Linked DNA regions of Oryzias latipes. The protein of the gene in region 1 purifies or fractionates together with the protein of each later gene. This does not show direct contact. Links are inferred from orthologs where the notes say so. Each region holds a gene or a part of one and is shown on either strand. Other genes may lie near its edges. The genes, in order: glypican-1 and hadhb.

What was found.
Region 2: the proteins of glypican-1 (region 1) and hadhb purify together in Homo sapiens (co-immunoprecipitation; 3 studies listed by BioGRID and IntAct, counting the BioPlex papers as one, with this or other methods). This does not show direct contact. The link is inferred for Oryzias latipes from reciprocal best matches to the Homo sapiens genes GPC1 and HADHB.

What each region holds. Positions count from the first base shown.
Region 1 is NC_019875.2:23,988,981-23,998,805, forward strand, and holds the start of glypican-1, read right to left. Parts: upstream 6,202-9,825; 5' UTR 5,521-6,201; intron 5,382-5,520; 5' UTR 5,053-5,381; coding exon 4,893-5,052; intron 1-4,892. UniProt on the Homo sapiens protein: Cell surface proteoglycan that bears heparan sulfate. Binds, via the heparan sulfate side chains, alpha-4 (V) collagen and participates in Schwann cell myelination.
Region 2 is NC_019882.2:19,091,619-19,101,480, forward strand, and holds the start of hadhb (trifunctional enzyme subunit beta, mitochondrial), read right to left. Parts: upstream 5,246-9,862; 5' UTR 5,231-5,245; coding exon 5,093-5,230; intron 3,606-5,092; exon of another isoform or gene 3,592-3,605; coding exon 3,528-3,591; intron 3,449-3,527; coding exon 3,407-3,448; intron 3,332-3,406; coding exon 3,235-3,331; intron 3,115-3,234; coding exon 3,070-3,114; intron 2,024-3,069; coding exon 1,924-2,023; intron 1,854-1,923; coding exon 1,766-1,853; intron 1,694-1,765; coding exon 1,506-1,693; intron 1,435-1,505; coding exon 1,254-1,434; intron 631-1,253; coding exon 509-630; intron 433-508; coding exon 353-432; intron 277-352; coding exon 229-276; intron 144-228; coding exon 56-143; intron 1-55. Other genes in the region: garem2 (GRB2-associated and regulator of MAPK protein 2), read right to left, coding at 8,756-9,356. UniProt on the Homo sapiens protein: Mitochondrial trifunctional enzyme catalyzes the last three of the four reactions of the mitochondrial beta-oxidation pathway.

The DNA.
Region 1 (9,825 bases):
GGATCTATTTGTCTGCTTGTGGATGCATCAGAATGGAGCGGAGCAGGGAGCTCCTGGTCTGCCGATTGTAGTTTGTGTGCAACAACAACAAGCTTTTGCAAATGACATTTTTGTCTTCTGCTGATTCACCACAATTTGAATAGAGATTTACTCCGAATTGCAGTTTTAATCTTAATTTTGTTTACACATGTCCTCCATCCTGAGAAAAATGCTACAAGAACAAATCAAAAACACCAAAAACGAGTTTTTTTTTTTATCAGAGTGGGTCTATAAAGGGGAACAAAATCTCACTGACTTATGATGAAAAATCTAACCTTACTTTAAAAATAAACTTACATCCATCCATTTTCTTACTCTCATCTGGGACTGGTTCTCAGGGGAAGCAGCCAAAGTAAAGATGCCCAGACTTCCCTCTGCCTGGCCACTTTATACAGACTACTTTGAATTTAAATGTAATTGGTGTTACTCCTTAATTTTCTATTCAGGGTGTGTGTCAGAGTGGGGAGGGGGGGTAACTTTGACAGATTATTGATTGGCAGGTAGGTGGACCCAACAGGGGGACAGAACAAGACTCTCACTGCTTTTTCATGGCCCCTTGCTCATTTTTAGAATAATTTTGAGTTGGGAAAAGCAAATTCAAAAAGTCTAAGTCCCTTCAGCTTTTATTAAGCTCTTTTGAATCCTATTGGTGATGTCAGAGATGATCGGTCCAGTTTGTGTCTGTTGTTATGTATATTATTTTTATTCATGTCAATCAAAATGTGTAAACCCCTGAAGGTGCTGTTTACCAGAGACCCTTTTTTTTGTTTTTATGTGACGGAACAGAGCATAAAGGTCACAGGTGGACCAGCCTGAGTGACTGTAGTCATGCAAACGTTGTGCCAGCTTCTCATGATGAAGAGGGAGCTGAGTTGTCAGGAGGGAAGCTTTCGATTTACCACTCAATCTACATTCCAGCCCTCATCTACAGTCACAAGCTCTCACTGAGGCCAAAAGAGTGATATTGTGCATAAAAAGGACACAAATGAAGATACATTACACATACACTTAACACATGTCAGAGCTGGGCTTACAGCTAAAATATTTCAGTATAAGCCCATAAAATATTTGCCATCTTAGATGTCTCCCCAGACCGCAAAAGGAAATGTCCAATTGTTTTGATGAAACACAACTAACAAAGGATTCAGGAAATCCCTGGAGGCCAGTATGTGAGCAACAGCTGAACATCTCAAAGTTTTAAATAGCATGGAATAACCAAAGTTAAGGATGATGAATTTACTGTCATATCAGAAAAAACAAAGCTCATTTTGTTACAGTTGTATGACACCTGTGTTTCCAACTTTATTTCATCATATGTTAAAAAAAAGATCAACTTTATCAGGGCAGTGATGTTGAAAATGTGGAGGAGAATTTGCTGTTTTTACTTTCATTATTTGGTATAGCTCTGTGAAAAGAGATTAAACAGCACACATGTTTTCAATGTTTAATGCCTCCATCTCAATAAAGAAAAGTAAAAAAATCCAATGAGGTTTTCTAACGCTTTAAGCTTTGGTACAAGCTAAGAACTATTGTTATGCATTTGTAGACCTACTCTTAATTTTAGTGAAAAACAGCTGTCTTCAAAGCATTCCAGTACTTTTTACTCAAGTTTACTATACTTAACACTCCATATTTTCAGTCACAAGGCAGTACTTAGTGACTAGTTTGCATGGATTCTCAGCAGGGCTGGTGAGCAGCGCTCCCACTGTATCATTAGTCAAACGCTGGTTAGAAATGATGCTCCAAAAACACCAGAAAGGGCTGTCAGGCTGTTGCAACCAGCAATCAACAACAACATAAATAAAGTATGGGAAAATCAATTCCAAAATGTGACTGGCCTTCCTGCAGATGTCTCACACATTTAGTTCCTTTGAATAGACTTATGTGACACTGAGGATCTAAGTCTTATTGGCTTCCAGCTGCTTTCAAAGAGTGCCTGCCATCTTTATCGCTTTAAGAGAGACACAGAGAGATAAAGAATGTGATTTCCTGGAAGACAAAAAAGATCAAGTCTATAATGATAGGGTGGGACAGGGAGGGGGCAGCGCAAAAAGGAAACAGGCCCACATCATTAAAATCAATCATCCATGTTTTTTAGTAAACACTGCCCAAAAAAGTTATCTCCAAAACTGCTTACCCTCTGCAGAGTTGACTCATTGTATCCGTTCTCTAACCATCAATCAATTAACTTTGTTCCCCATGAACTTTATTTTTAAAAAGCATGGCCTTTATGCACAGCAATGGTCCACTAAGCATTGCTTCGGCACAATGATAACAAACAGCTCACTGTTATCTTAGTTCTTCTGCATCGCTTTCCTCAAGCCAAAGTTACTTAAGAACTTACAGCTATTCTGAATGTTTTATGAGCCGTGTCTACTTAAAAGCAATGTCTTGAAATTGTTTAACACCATTTTTTAAGCCTAATCCAACAGAGAAAAGATAATTATGTTGGGATTTTTCTTCTACTTTAACTCAAGTATTTCAAAAAAGTTGTTTTTCAAAGTCAGTAACGAAATAAAACTGTACAGATAAATACATAGAATCAAATTATTTTTCAGTACAAATGGAATACAATAACGTAAAATAAAAAGCACACTTTTCTTTGTAAATCTGCAGATAAAAACTGCATTTGCATATATTTCCAGGTTTGATGTACCATTTAAAACAAAACCTAATGGGTTTATAACAGCTTTTGTCTCCAGGATTTTTTTTCCATCAGCTGGATGTCGGACATTTAATTGCTTTAACTGAACATAATTTTCAGACTTGGGAAGCAAGTGGCTCTCCTCGAATCTTGCTGGTGTGCTCAGCATGTGACCTTGAGTCAGGCTCAGCCAATACATTAAGTTGATCAAACCCTGGTGTCACAGAAGGAAATACCCTCTGCAAATGTCAGGGAGCATCCACAATATCCAAGCAGCTCATAATTTCAAGGCATAAATCAAACATTTCATGTTTTACGATGTGTTCATGCCAGGCTACGGCTTATGAATAGCTGATGTGATTTATTCATATAAAATCAAGTAAATGTGACACTGAGCACAATATTCTGAATGTAGAAAAGCAAATTTGTCCTTGTTTCATTCCTCCATGCCTAATTCCAAGATTTTCTCTCTTACGCTAATATAGTGACTTCATTCTTAAGTAAACTCCACACCATTGATCGAAAAAAGAGGGATTGCTGGCGTAATGACATGACAGATTTGCTCTTTAAAGCAGCTTGGATTGCAGGCATTTGGAAAAAAGTTGGGTCTCTAACAAAACTAGAGCTGGTATAAATTTTGTCAAATGTTTTATTCAGTGTGGTCAATCAAGTAAATTGCCAGTGTCCACTGCCACTTGCCCTCACTGCAGTGAATTGAAATGAAAGGATATACAAGATTATGCTTTCATTACATTACTGCCCCTCCTTCAAATTTAATAATCGCAGTGTAGATACTGAGCTCATTTGTGAATTATAATGCCAACTGCTGTGTGACAAATAATTGAAGTTCAAGCAAATCTTGGGTCCTTGGTAGATGTTTTCTAATAATTTTCTAATAAACTCTTCCAAACATTGCTGTTGATGAGTTATATCCCATAGTTATCTCCAAAAGGACTGAATCAGCACCAAACCAGAAAAAGTGTTTGCGTCGGGAGGATATCACAGAGATTCAGCCACAATGGAACCAGGATGATACTCCATTCAGTTATATTTATTTGAACGGCCAGGTGCACACGGTGCTTTATGATCATGAGGCAAGAACTTTTCTCACTGGCAAACTTTAGGATTCATTATCTTAGCCTGACACTGAACGTGAGGGCACTAAACTAAATGTACACATAGAGGGCAATAATCGCTGTACTTTTTGTATTGGGTTATGCCTTGAAATTGGCCAAAGTGGTTCATACTTTGGTAAAATACCATTGCAAGAAACCCCTCAACACTAGGAATTCCAGTTTACCAGATCCTCGTTTTAGAATAATGAAAAAGAATAAAAAGTTCAAAGTTCCTTGAAATCCTTCTGAATGAACTCACAGTGGGGTGGATGTAAGGTCTCACATCTTGTCTATGCTCGCTGGTGTTCATAGCATTGTAACCAGGAACTGTGTGTGTGTATTGGTGTGAATGCTTGGCACTGAATTCCACAGGAGGCAAACATGCAATCATCTGAACACCAGAGAAACTTGTGACTGACATCAGACCACGACTGACCAATCGGGCAACCTTAAATTTACAATATTTTGTGGATGACTAAATGTCTGACAACTTAATATGCAGGCAATTGCCGGTACCTGTTTGAAAAGAGGTCAACCCAATTGCAGAATGTTAGAGTGAAAGTTACACTGAAAAAAGCGTAACTTCTTGAAGTTCTCAAAAATATTAAGATGAGAGTTTGAGGAGACTTTATTATATTTTATTTTCACCCTTTTCCTGAGATCAAACAGCCAGACAGTGTGTGGCGAGTTTGCTCTGTCTCTAAGTCTTTTCAAAGAGCTGTTTCATCTCATGAGAGCAAAAGAGGTTCTGTTTTATGGCACCATGTGATACGAAATGATTGCCACACATTAGAGATGAATAGATAAATGTATTTTGTGCTTTCTTTAAACACATTTTAAAAATAGATGGTTTTAGAACATTATAGTCAGGTCATCAAGTCCTCAGCCTCCAATTTGATTAACTTTAACTCAACAAATTGAAATTAAAAAGGTTGTGGAGGAATAGCAATTTTCAGAAGTTATTAAAAGCTCCGAATAGTTTTATAACCTCAGCAAGCACTAGTTTATTTTTGGCCATAAATTTTAGTTTATTTTCTTGCATAAAAGAGCTTGAATTTCATTGAAGACTGCGCTCAACAGCTGAAAGAACCTACCTGATATTTCGGACAGAGGGGCATTATCCAGAGAGAACCCCTTTGCACCGTAAAACTGACGGATGTCCGAGCAACTCCGGGCTTTGCTGGTGCCTTTGTCCCCGCAGGCTGGTGCTGTTAGAGAGCACAGTGCCAGCGCCGCTATAATCAGAGATTCCATTCCTGTCGACCTTTCAGGATGCAGACTTAGTGAAATGACAATCCGAGTGGCTGACGAGGATACTGAGTTTAGTGCACGGAGAGGGGGACCGGCGCGTTTCTTGGTGCTGCTGTGCGTAAAAACCTCCTCTTTTGCTCCCCGTCTGACGCTGTGGCCCCTCTACGCGCCGCCGCACGGCACAGTGGCGATTCCTCACAGATGTCCCGTTTCTTCTTGAAGCTGTTCGGGACAACGCACTTTTTATTTTCCTCTCCAAAAGAACTATCCCCTCTTGTGGTACTCTGAATAAGTCCAGATCTCGTTTATCCACCGCTATGGTTTTGGATCATCTACAAAGGGAGAAGGAAATGGATGAAAGAAGAATTAGGTTACGCGTTTACAGCTGAAATAATCTATTTTAAGTCACGTCAGAAAATAGCAACGCTCCGGCTGACGCCGTGCAGCCTGGTTCTGTTGACTCACGCCTACCGGCTCGAGCGGCCCCGGGGATCTGAGTAACGAGGTGCGCATATGCAGATACCGCAGCTCACGGGGTTGCTGAGCGATGCTGTGCCAGCGCTGCTACTCTGTGAAATGAGGGAGAGGCGGAGAGCAGCAGCACAGTAAGAGGAGAGAGGCGAGGAGCTGCTGAGGGTTGAAGCAACTCTTCAAGTTTGGTTTCATCCTGTGTCGCTCAAATACTATTTTTAAAGATGTTCCCCGTCCCTGTCTAAGATCTGTGTCATTCTGTGGCACATTCACGGCTGCGGGTGATGGATCATAAGGTGTTTTGGTCCACAGCAGAGGAATGTGCTCTGCGCGCCTTGACAGCTTGATCACGACCGGCCAGGTGTCACAGGCTGTGGGCGTGCCTGCCAGCCCTTTTCCCACCCGGAGCTGTAATGTTGGAAAGCAGTGAATGGATGAGCCAGATCACTCCTCAAGATGCAATTAATCGGCCAACAAGTCACTATCTGCCCCGTGATTTTCCCGGATCACCTGGCTCTGCCTGAATGCCTTCATTATCCTCAGTTTCTGTGCGCGCTGTCTCTGTTATTTGATGACACGTGTCTGACTGTGAACTTTGATCATGTCAGGAAAAGTCCAACTTTTTAGATGCGTTGCCTTTCGGTTTTGCTGTAACATAGTGGCCTCAAAGCACAAAGACAAGTAAGGAGAACATCTTTAACATCATGTCTGCAGTTTTTGATGTTTTCTGTTTCATTTTTAGATCTACAGAGCCTTTCCAAATTATTAAAATATCATGAAAAATCTATTAATTTCTATAATTCTATTCCAAAAAATAATTCATGTATAGAATATAGATTAAGGTCCCTCTGTTTACTTGATTTCAAGATTTGCTTTGACATAAACTGGGCTTCTAGCTCATGAATCCCATGAAAACTGAATTTCAGAAAATTCAAATACTGTGCAGAAATCACTGTTTACTTCTCAGTTTTTGCACAAAAAAAAGATAAAGACAGAGATTATGATCACATCAAGTCAGTCAAAATAAAGTTTTAACAAAATAATATGTAAATAGTAGTATGGGCAGCGGCCAGGTCCTGATGGAAGATAAGATCTGCACCTTCATCCAGATCCTCAGAAGAAAAGCTGAAGTCCTCTAGAACATTCTGGTAGAGTCTTGCAGTGATTTTGGATTGAAGAAACCAGATTTTACCAACACCAGTGCTGGACACTGTATCCCAAATCATGACAGACTGGATTTTTCACACTGGACCTCAAGCAGCTTTGGTTCTGCTCCAAACCAGTCTTCCTCCAAACCCTTGGACCTTGATTCCCAAACAAAAGGCACACTTTTTTTTTCATCCGAAAAAAACATTTTGGACCACTGGCCAACAATCCAGTTTCTCTTTGTTTCCTCCATTGACGCAGGATCAGTAGTGGTTTGACCTGAGGAACCCGACAGTTGTAGCCCATCTCCCGAGTCTCCTATTATTCTCTTTCTGTTTTAAGCCAAAATACAAAGCTTTGGCAGAAAAGTGTATTTTCTAAAATAAAAGCAGAAGCCTTAATATCCAAGAAGAACTTTTTTTCTGATTTTCTTTCTTTCTAAGTTTCGTTCAACTGAATCTATGAGCTTTAGGCAGGTTGTGTCACATCGACTTCCCTTGTGATAAATACGTGTGAAATTGAACAAGACAGTGTTGGATGGTGTAACTCATGTGGGAGGTACTTCAAGTATTGTTTGCCAAGTAAGATGCCACAGCACATTATTAAACTGACACATAAAACACACACACATGCACACAGGTTATCTTCAAATATGAAGCAATAACAGGACAGAAAGCAAAAAGAAAAGAAAAAAAAGCGAACAAAGAAATGAAGTCATGAAGGAGAAAACCTCATGGCAGCAGGAGTCATTTCCTATCCCCAAATCATCGAATTTCTGGAAAGAAAAATTGTTTATGAGGACAACATGGCACTCTATAATTAGCTCGTCCTTTGTCACAGGTCAAAAACAAAGAGAGCAGCATCTCACAGAGTGACAAATGGCCACACTCACAACCCATTATCTGAAATGATTGGGCACGAATTGCATATTTATTCTGCAATGTGGAGTGTCTTCCTTGTTGCACTGTGGACGGTGCATTTGTGCCACGTTAAATCTGGCACATTATCATAATCATTTAGATAAATTTGAGAACTGTAGCCTAACAGCGGCGTACAACAGTCAGACAAACCTCTAATTTTGTGTGTGATGATTTTTCCTCCCTTTGCGGTGAAGGAAAATTGGCCGGCGTTAAGCACATGTGGCAAGAGGTTAATGAGTCTAGCAAGCTCAAAGCAAGTGTGGGACAACATGTCAGTTGGTATTATATATGGGTTTGTGAATACATGACCTTTGTGTGTATGTGGCAGTGGCAGTGTGAAATTTGAGTTTATGTGTCTGACTGCGTTCCACATGTGGTCATAGGTCGGTCAGGATGTTCAAGAACTGATTGGCCTTCTACTGTTTGGTTTGAGGATTATGCAATTAATGCTCAATAAAGCCGCAGAACAGCCATCTTTTTTGCGGGCTGCTTCTCATTGAAGTTTTATTGGCTCTGACCATGAAAGGCTGCTTAATGAGGAACAGGAAGCCCGGGGAAGTTCAGGAGACCGGCAGAATGGTAGCAAAGACAGAGGAATGAAGGGGGTGAGAGGCCATAAATAAGCAACAGTAAGTTGGAGTCCATGTGCAGTAATTTAGAGCTTAGCATTGTCAGGGACTGATGATCATTTCTAGAACTCTGCTGGATTTTAACTTTCATATACAATATTCTTTCAACATAGTGTGTATTCCTAAAAAAAAATGAAAAGGAGAGTTACAAAAAAACATTCCTTAAATCCTACTACAGTCATCTTTTAATGTATTTTAAATTGGTCCCCAGTGGTCTTTAAATTATGATTATGCTGTTTATACCCAATAAAACAGACAAAAAAATTGTGTTTTCTAGGACAAATTCTGCAGAGCGGCAGTACTTCTTTAGAAATTTGCCTCTGAGTTGTGGGCGGGACTCTTGGCACAGAGCAGCCCCAGCCTCCTTTCCCGTCATCCATAACTGAGCACTCTGTTCACACGCTCTCCCGCTGGCTTACAGCCCCTCACATCCCCAACTGATCATTATCGGTGCAACAAAAATTTGGCGAGCAATATTGAAGTTATCCAGCTGTACAGTTTAGATCCAGATGCCAGCATGGATGAGGACAACAAAGAGGTACATGGATTTAGTCGTCTGCACGCGGATACATCAGAATGCAAGGGAGCATGGAGCTTGTGGCTTTTCGATTGTACCACATCAAATAATATTTGTATAGCATTATTCGGACTGACATAACTCAAAGCGCTTAACATAAAAACATTTTCCAATTTTTAAAAACCCAAAGCAAGACAAAACTCATACAGTACAACGTCCAACCACCAATGCTCTACCTCGCCACGCAATCACAAACATAATAATGCATAAAATGATTCAGTATGATGTGAAGAAGAAATCCAGCTTAATACTTAAGTGGGGAAATTACTGTATATTTTTGGTACCTGTCCACCCCCCCACACACACCCATGTCCACAGGGGACACTTCTCCAGGATCCCCCAGATCAAAGCAAGAAGCCAGACTCTGGACATCCCTCTGCAGCAACGCTGTTATCTTTCGTATATCACAACTGCAAACTTTTTCAAACAACATTTTTTTTGTCTTCTGTTTCCTGATTCACAATAATTTGACTAAAGCAATATTCAGAAATGCAATTTTGAGCTGAACTTTCCTAAAATATGTCCTCTATCGTGAGAAAAATGCCAGGAAATTATTCTTAGTTTTGGTTCCAGCATAGTTAAAAAAATCTTACTCTTAGGAGCCTTTTCATATAGTTTAATTGTTTTTATTTTTTTGTCCACCCATATTTACAGGACCAACAATCATACAAGCTGTACAAAAATAATCATGTTATTTTCATTCTTTTTTTTGCAGGGCTCAGGAATATAAAAGCACAGAATGCTCTTAGTAAAGTCACAAATACAGTTTTATGTACATAAGCATCATTTTTAAGATGTAAAATGCAAAAACCAACACCTCCAACAAAACAGTTGTGATTCAGTGTTGTATAAAATGACCATCTATCAGCCTCAGCATGATTTGGCTGTAAATACCATTGTGCAGTTTTACAGATTTATTCCGTATTTATAGAGAGATCACTGTGTTATCTCTCTTAAACCAGTCTCACACAGGGCTCCTCACAGCCACTATTGATTCTTGATCCGCTGAGTTTTTGTATCAACACATTCACTA
Region 2 (9,862 bases), on another chromosome or scaffold:
AAAGAAACTACCTAAAAGAAAAACTGAAAAGTTTGGATCTAGACAAAAATCTTACGGCGAATGCTTCGTGAAACTCAAACACGTCGATGTCGCTCAATGACAAGCCGGACCGCTCAAGAACTTTTGGCGTGGCGTAGGTCGGCCTGTAAGTCAAACAGATCCTTATGGACTCCACACAAACAAACAAACTGTCCAGCCGTGAGTGGAGACGGTGACACACTCACTCACCCCAGTAGCAGCTGATCTTTGGGGTCCTGGGAGACGTAGACGAAGTCTCTGAAAAACACAACGCTGTGAGTCGGTGGTTCTGAAGCGGTCCTGCTGCTCTGCTTCACTGAGAGGACTCGGGTACCTGAGGTAGGCTTTGGGCTTGAAGCCCATGGCCAAGGCTTTCTCCTCAGACATGATGAGCACAGCGGAGGCCCCGTCCGTCTGCCGACCAGCACATACATGGACAGGTGAGGATGAGGAGGACAATCAAATGAAATCCTTCAGATGAAGCTGTTACCAGGAAGGAGGAGTTGGCAGCGGTGACTGTGCCGTGAGGCTTGATGAAGGCTGGCTTCAGTTTTCCCAGTTGCTCCATGGAGGACGGCCGGATGCCGTTGTCCTTTGAAACGATGTCCCGACCTGGAGGAGGAAAGCCCGTTTACAGACGTAACCTTTGACCAAATGATCCACACGATCAACAACGGTTAGATGACACAAATAAAGATTCTAGTTGTTAAGATTTTCATTCATTTTTAAAAGAATTTTAAAAATAGAGGAGAAAGTGAATAAATGGGAGGAAAAAAAAAAGACCTACAAGCCATTTATGTCAGACAAAAGCTTATAGACCCTCTCCGATGAAAATTTTGTGTTTTTATCACGTTTGTGTGCTAATTTTCTGATGATGGAGGAAATATATAAAGAAAAACTGGTCCCGCCCACAACTCAAAGGGGAATGGTCTAATGAACTCCTGCTGCTCTGCAGGAACGATGGCCTAGAAAACAAGTCAGGTTTTTGGATTTTGGGTCAAAATGGCAATAATGAAAAGACCACTGGGAGGAACACTTATGAAAGATAAAGCTTTAATGTTAAAGCTAAAAAATATAGTCTCATTTATCTTATTACATTTTTATCTATTTATTTATTATCACTAATAAGTACTGGAAATTACCTTAAAAATAAACAAATAAATCCAAAGTTCAGATGTTTTTCCTAAATCTTTTGAGTGTTTCAAGTAAACACATTCCCAACAGCTCAGCTTCACCTGGTACTTTGAAGGAGACCACGTCCTCCAGCAGCCCGCCGTCCTGAGCCTTTTGGGCCAGGCTGTGGGAGCGCAGAGCGAACTCGTCCTGCTCCAGCCTAGTGACGCCGAACGCAGCGGCCAGCCGGTCAGCGCTGTGGCCCATGGTTTCTGCCGTGGAGAATTCCGCCACGGCGGGAAGCTGCAAACGGGGGAGATTCCGGGTTTAGGAAGAGTCGCAGGTGAGATTTGCAGAGTCAGAGCTGGGTTTACCTCAGGGGACAGGTGAGCCAGTCGGATGCTGCCGATCAGGCTAAGCCGCTGCCCCAGAGTTTTGGCCTTGTTCAGGGACAGCATGGTCTTCCTCATCTTGCGGCTGTGCCGGATGGGAACATCGGACATGAACTCCACCCCGCCTGCGACGACGGCGTCACACTGACCTGCAGCAATCAGCCCGACAGCTGCACAGAAAAAAAGGTTCAAGTCCCGCTGAATCCCAACGACAGCGGCTCTCCCGCTGACCTGGAGCTCACCTGAAGTCATGGCCTGGTTGGAGGAGATGCAGGCCATGGTGACGGTGTGAGCTGGAATCTTGTCCGAGAAGCCTGCCCCCAGAGCTGCCTGCAGGAAACGGCAAAAATGGTCAAAGGAAAAACGGCGAGCAGCTGACGCCCGCATGGAAGTGTCCTACCTCTCTGGCCACGTTGCTGGTTTTCACTTCCTGAATGACCGTTCCATAAATGATGTAATCCACGGCGTCTTTGGGGATCCCGGTTCTGTTCAGCAGACCCCTGAAACCAAAAAAAAGTTCTCCATTTATTCGGTCATTATTTAAACGTCTGTCTTCTTATACCATCATTACCCATCATTCCTCGAAATGTTTCGTCTAAAAACTAACAGGTACTTGGTCTCTAAGAAAAAAACGCTCTGATTTTTCCATTACTAACTTTACATACACTGACAAGTCTAACTCTGAGTGGTTTCCATGGTAACATACAGCATCACAACCCAAAAAAAAATCAAGCGACATAAAAAACAAACTTTGTTCAATCTCTGTACGACACAATGAGAGATAAGGTCAACTTTGATTCAGCTTGGCAACTTCTATGAAAGTGGTTCACCATAGCAACCGTAGTGGTTTTTTAATGTCTGGGTCTGATGAAGATCTGAAGGGATTTTCATTCGGAAACTTTTCCTTAGCAACCTGTTTTTCCTTTCCAGGATTTCATTTGTTCCCTGATAACATTGACTGACATACAAGTGTGTTTAGTTTATTACTTATAGGTATTTCAGTACATATAATTCTATATTCTAATCGTAACATCTCGGCCTGGATGGTATTTTTGGGGCAATTGGCTGGCACGCAGGAAACCTGGGTTTACTTCCCGGGGCGTGCAATGAGCTAAAAAAAAATCCAGTGTGGGTCCTTAGACAAGATCCTTCATGCTTCTGCCTATCTGGGTCTCCCTGTGCCTTGAAAATACAGGGTTGTGTCAGGAAGGGTATCTGGCGTAGAAACTCTCAGCCAAACCACCGGTCCGAGTCTGTGAAAGCTGATTGGCTGTGGCGACCCCTGAAGGGATATTCCCAGAGGTGAACACGATCGTAACATCGCAGGAAACAGTCCAGTCATTCAATCGTTTCTGACAAGTTTGTAAGACCTGGAAGAAGTTTGTTTGTTCCCAAATAAAAAATGAAAGCTCATTTGCAATCATGATTATATATTATTATGTAAAACTAATCTTTAGGGTGTTTCTGATTCAAAATACATTAAAACCGAACTACCCAACCTAGCTTCTTGATACCAGGAAAAGCCTAAACCTAAGCAGGAACTTACTGCAGAGCGGCTCTGGCCAGGTCATGAGGCATCATGTCAGCATACCTGGAAACAAAAGACAATGTTTTTCAAACCTGATGAATATCGTTTTGAAAAACGTTGAACACATCGTGAAAGCAATGTTATCTGCAGGGTAAAGAGCTTCATCCTGAAGAAGGAACGTACGTGGTTCCAGACAAGAGGAACGGCGTTCGGACTCCTTCCACCAGAACGATGTTCTTCACTCCGGGACGGGCCAGGGTTTTCTTGCTCTTTGTCTGGGCTAAAAACAAATGAACAAGTGCGACTTCAGATCCAACCAAGGGACAGTCACATTCAGTAGTGTGAATATGTTTACCCTGAGCCTGAAGAGGGGCCGTCACACTGAGGGGGCGGGCTCCTGGGAGACACGGTGATTCACAGATTTAAGGAGAAACCAGAGCAAGAAGACCCGATCACCAGGCTGTGACAAAACTCACCGAGTCGCGACGCCCAGGAGGAGGCGGCGGCAGTGGGCCGCAGCAGCATGGAAGCCATTTTACTCTGAAAGGAAAAACCTGCAGCCGTGAAGGAAACAACGGAGAAGTTCGGACTCATCTGGGTTTTCGGGAACTCTCCGATTTTTGGACTTTATTGAAAACGGATTTTAAATTCAACGTATTATACTAGAAACGGTAACTGTCAATTCCAAATATGACAAAATCAAAGATTTTTCTGTCAACTTCCAGATTAACTTCAGAATGTAAACATCACCGTTATGAAAAACACTTGATAGATGTACTTTAAAAATGAGGACCTTCAACGATACTTTACTTTGAAAATCTATTTACTTCCTGTGACAGTAGCGTACACAGATTAGTTTATCCAATAAAATCCTATATTATTCTGCAATTTTAGGGTAACATTTACATTTCCTGAACTGCATTTGGCTACACTGTACTCTAGTAATAAAGATTGAAAATCAATGGACATAAATATTTGTACTCAAATTTTCAGGAGCTGATTGCAGATATCAGAGAATTTGGAGAAATTGTTATGGGCAGCATTTAAACCGAATTAAAGGAATAAAGTTCATAAAAATAATTTGCTTTTGTTGCTAACCTTTAAACACCATAGATGTCGCCGATGACATTGAAATAACAAACGTTGGACTTGATGCTAGAAAAACCTGATTAACAATCCACCATCATTCTGGGGGTGAATTTAGCAGATGTTAATATATCCGGTAATCATAGCTGAATTAGGATTCCAGTATGTTAGATTATTAGTATTAAGATAATTTATCTACATGTTTTTTATGGCAGAGTTTCCGCAGTGATTTTTGTAGATCATTTTTGACATATTCGTTGAAAAGTCATATTTATCTATTTATTGTGTTAAAGAAAGTAGTTAGTCTCCTTCTGAATCTCTGCTCTGTTCTCCTTTGACCCATAAAGCTCAAGCTTACCCCCCAAAAATGCTAGAACCCCTATGTGAACTATTGTTTGTGGTGCGTTCACGGCCACTGCTGCGTTCAGAGCTAATTAACGAAAGGTAGCCAGAACTTTCCACCTTAAATCATAAAAATGATAGCTGATGAGTCAATATTGGTTAACTGATCAAAGTAGAGGACTAGATCACAGTACAGTAAGTATCAAACATTACAATCTGATTATTTCTAAAAGAAATGTATAAAGTTTATTTTCCTGATGTAAGTGAACGTCGCATCAGTCTGACGGTCACCCTTTCATACTGTGACCCTTCACCCACTTTGCTCTCCTGTGGAATGACAGCTGCAAAAATGACCAAAAATACGACCGCAATCAATAGTTATGATACCTTTATTGACTGAAGCAGCCATTTTAACCCAAATGTAAATATTTTGGTGAAATAAAATAGACGGCGGTGTCGTTGTGTGCTGCATGATGGAGGCTAGCATAGTGGCTAAAGTATGTGTCAGGCAGGTTCGGTAACGGAAAACTTAGAAAAGTAAAACGATAAAATAATTCAAATTGTTGCTTTATTCAGTTTAAACGCTAAAAGAGTCTGCTGCTTTTACGCTTACCTTTATTTGTGCTGAATGACGGAGCTTCTGCTTCCCTGTCGGTGATCCAAGAGGACTACACTCCTGAACAGGACCCAACCAATGCCTAAGCTGTCCAAACATGTGCCTGAACAGAAATCCATATCTGCTTAAATACATGTCTGATCAAAAAATACTATAAAAAAGTAAATACCCATGACTTGTATACTACTTCTGCTGTTACTACCACTACTACTACTACTACTAATAATAATAATAATATTTAAAAAAATCATAATATTATTATAACAATTTTCTATGGGGATAAAAATATTAAACAACTCTTATTCTTAAATTACCAAAAACGTATTTTTAAAATATAACTTAGCTGTATTTCAACACTACTTGCAAAAAGCGTTGTACAAATGTTTTGAGTCGTCTAATGTTTTTTGCTTAAAAATGATTTAAAAAAAATAATTCATCTTCTAATCCATTTTTATCCCTTTTGGGGTCACAGGGCGGCCGAAGTCTATCCCTGCCACTTGCGGGGGAAGGCAGGGGACGCCCTGGTCAGATGGCCAGTCTGTCACAGGGCCACAATCACACACCCATAGAGTAACCAATGAACCTAGCATGTTTTAGGACGGTGGGAGGAAGACGGAGCCCCCAGAGAAAAGCCACACATACACGGGGAGAACATGCAAACTCCACATTACTACTGTAATAATAATAATAACTATTATTATTATAATTGATTTAATCTTTTCTTGAAATGTGATGTTTAGTTATGCCTATTTTATTTTGAAGAACACTTTTAGACTACTCTTATTCATCTGCTTATTATAAATCAAAATGTAATAAGTTATGATAAATGCATTTTGCTGATTGTCCGAGTCAGATTATGAAGGAAACTCAAATGTTACTTTTATTTTTGTGCAGTGAAAACATGTTTTTCTGTTGTTTTTTCCTTCAAGCGATCATATTTTCTGCTCTTAAGCTCAGAGAAAGGGAAGACCTTTCCTCACTTTAAAGTGCAGTTGTGCCATGGTGTTTACATTCTCTGGGGACGGCGTTAAACCAGCCGAAATCAGCATAAACCAGCCACATCTCTGGCCTTCTGACAGACTGACTCTTCCATTTTTTTACCCCTCTCTCCATCCAGCCAGAACTCCCGTCAGCTGCTGGCTCAGGATGATGTGGCAGTTGTAGGACTCCAGCTGCCAAAAGTGTGTGTTTGTGGGAGACGTATGCACAAACGGGGCGTCACACATTATGTTTATGACAGCCCTGACTGCTTGTCTCAGCCTTCACGCTGACACCTGTGATTAATCAGAATGCGAGCATGTTTCCGAGTGGATGCAGCAGAGCCTGCTGGAAATGATGATGACAAAAGTAGTTTTTGGGTTGTTGTTTTATTCAAATCAGCTGTTTTTAAATGTAAGAAAAGAAAAGAAAAACTGGAGTTAGGAAACAATCCAAGAATATAATTTCAACATATCATGTAAAAGGAAATCTATGAATATATATATATATATATATATATATATATATATATATATATATATATATATATATACAGAGATTGTGTCCTTCATCAAGATACATTACCCATTATGCCAGTTGACTGTAAGCAACTTGAAAAGTTACTGTAAAAATATATCAAAAAAGTAAGTAAAAAGCAGACACGATTTAAAGTGTGCAGAGGTTTGGACGCATCCAACCCTCAGATCAACCAGAGGCTTTCATGTTTGGACCAAAAGCCTTGGTCAACTGAACTCATATGGGGCTGACCTGTACAAAAGCCGTGGGGTTTTGTTATATGTTTATGTTTATATATATATATATATATATATATATATATATATATATATATATATATATATATATATATATATATGAGTTCAGTTGACCAAGGCTTTTGGTCCAAACATGAAAGCCTCTGGTTGATCTGAGGGTTGGATGCGTCCAAACCTCTGCACACTTTAAATCGTGTCTGCTTTTTACTTACTTTTTTGATATATTTTTACAGTAACTTTTCAAGTTGCTTACAGTCAACTGGCATAATGGGTAATGTATCTTGATGAAGGACACAATCTCTGTGGGATTTGAACCTGTGACCCACCTGGCGAGCTCCTCCCACCCACTGCTTTCGTGATCGCGCGACAGCTTTCATCTTTGAATATGCAGGAAGGACTGCAGAGCTCGTTTCACAGAGACCAAGCCGCATTCTTCCTCAGACGTTCAGGAGGTGGTTCCAGCAGCACTCCTTAGTTTGGAAGGATGGTGTCCAGCATGTGACCTCCGCACCTGAGGTCTTGCTGCCTGGAGCAGGTAAGTCTCAGAGACTGTTTGAAATGGTGCGGACATGCTCTCTATTACTAATCAGGGCCTAACACAAAGGCGTGAAACCCCTACAGTCTTTAGCAAGTGGCTGCCAAGCTTCAGTTGAGTATAAGAAGGTCAAGACAGTCATTTCTGGGCTTTCATGAGCTGATAATGTCAACATGAAGTCAAGATGGTGGCTCCAACAACAGCTGGTGCACCCTCTGGCTATGATCTTATTCACGTTCTGCTTTTTTGAAAGAAGCAGTGATGTTTAGCTATTGGACAAAAAGTGGAGGGATTTCAGCCTTCAGCCATCTAAAAAACTCGTTTTTATGTTTCGCTCGGATCTTTGAGTCCAGGTTCCTTTGGGAGAATTGAGGAGTGTTGATTTCAAATTAGGCTTGGGTGGGCACCGCTTGGCATTAACATGTTTTCCTTCAGTATAGAAACAAAGAAACAAAGGAACCAAGGGATTATCTTCTCCTAATGTCAGACCTGTTGGGTCCAGTCGGGTTTCACACATTAACATCACAAGGCAAAGATGTTCCAAAGCAGAGACATAAACAGAGGAAGTGAATAAATGTTAATGGCCGGGTACTAATACATTCCACACTCAAAGGAAGTGGGGTTGATGAAACCAGACAGTGCTAGAAATATCAAAAACTATGTCCAGAAACGACGTCCTCCTTTCTTTTTGGCTAAAAACGACACCATCATGATTAAAAAGACCACTGGGAACACTTACACTCACAGTGTGAGAGACTTAAAGAACAAACTACATGATCATAAGTGTCTAAACACTTTTTTAAATGGTTAGCAATTTTTTATTGATTCTTTCTCTATTTTGGAGAGATTTTTTTTATAAACCCGTTTATTATTTAGTGTATGAAATAAAAATAAATGAAGAAAAAAACCGAGGAAAGAAGACTGTTTTCAGTTGGATTACATTTATTTTTATGCATTCCTAAATCAAGTATTTCTGAACAAGCTGTCTGAGGTACATCCGGAGAAATCTATGTGTTACTTCATGTCAGCGTTTTAGTGTATTGGATACCTAAAACCCATAAAAGGGGGCTCTGATAAAAACTCTGCTCCAAAGCACAGAATGGCTTAAATAAACAGCACTGCGTGTTTTAAATGCCCGTCAAACTCACATTATAACTTTATTTAATTTGAAATAAATGAACATCTACTGAGGTGCAAATAATAGGAAATTAAAAAACTTAAAATTGTGTGTAAAATCTGACTAAGATGCTTTTTTTTTTCCAGTCTGGGAGTCAAGAGTCACTTCTTTTGTTTGCCCACAAGGGGGCGTTCTTTCCCTTTGTTTGGGGCTCAGCAGTCAGTGGGTCACAGTAGAAGGCACATTAAGCAGGGCTTTCAGATTTTGGGCCTCCAGCCCTGGATGAACTGTGTGATTTTGGTCACGTGAAGTCGGCTCAGGTGGAAATCGTGCGACAGGATGTCCTCCGTCAGCTGAACCAGCAGGCTGCCGTCAATCCGCTCCCTCTGGAAAACGCCCACCGCTGCCTCGGGAAGGCCGATGAACCGCAAGCACGCAGAGACCTCCTCCAGGGACAAAGCGGAAAGGTCGGCCGGCGGCCGCCAGGTGGGGTCAGGCGGCAGGGACGGTCCCTCCGTGACCCCGGAGGGTGTCCCACCCCCCTCAGCACCTCTGGAAAAATCTGTTGCGGGGCTGACCGCCGGCTCAGGTGAAGGGCAGGGGGACTGACGGTTGAAGGGGTTCAAGGCACCAAAAGGAGCGAATCGACTCTGTGGAGGTGGAGGTCTGAGTCTGGGTACGGAGGAGGGGAAGGAGTCCGCCCATGGCTCCGCCCAGGTGGCCTGCGCCGGCTTGGGATTGGTGGAGCTTTCTGCAGGGATGGAGGATGCAGGCTCAGGACTAGCCGGATTCGGAGCAGGACAGTCACCCCAAGAGCAGGGATAACAGTAGATGGTGGCGTCTGGGGAGGGCGAGCAGCTGGGGGACAACAGAAGGAAGTGACATCATCATTTAAATTTGGACGGTGTTTAAAAAGGATCAATCCACTTTAGCGAAATCACAATTTGACAAAAAAGCTGTTCCAAACGTATTAAACATTTTTCATAAAGGTTTGGAAATCAGTTTGATTCTAAGGAAAATATTTAAATAGAACTACTAATTTTCTTACTTCAAAAAAGGAAGTGATGCTGGGAAGCGTGCATCAATTTAAGAGTTAGATTTGTTTTTGTCAAGCTTGGAATTTAAGACAGCACCTTTAGTCATTCAGTTTTTAAGTTTGCACTTTTTAAAGTTGAAAATTAAGGTAAAAAAGGCAAAATTATAATATGTCAAAAGAATTATTGAAACCAAATGAAAAGATTTAAAAAAAATAGTTAAATCTCTGCCAAAAATGAGATCAGCTGACCAAGAAAAATCAATTAAAAATATTTCCATTAAAAAAAACACTAAAATAAATGACCAGATGTTACATTTGCTGTGAAAGT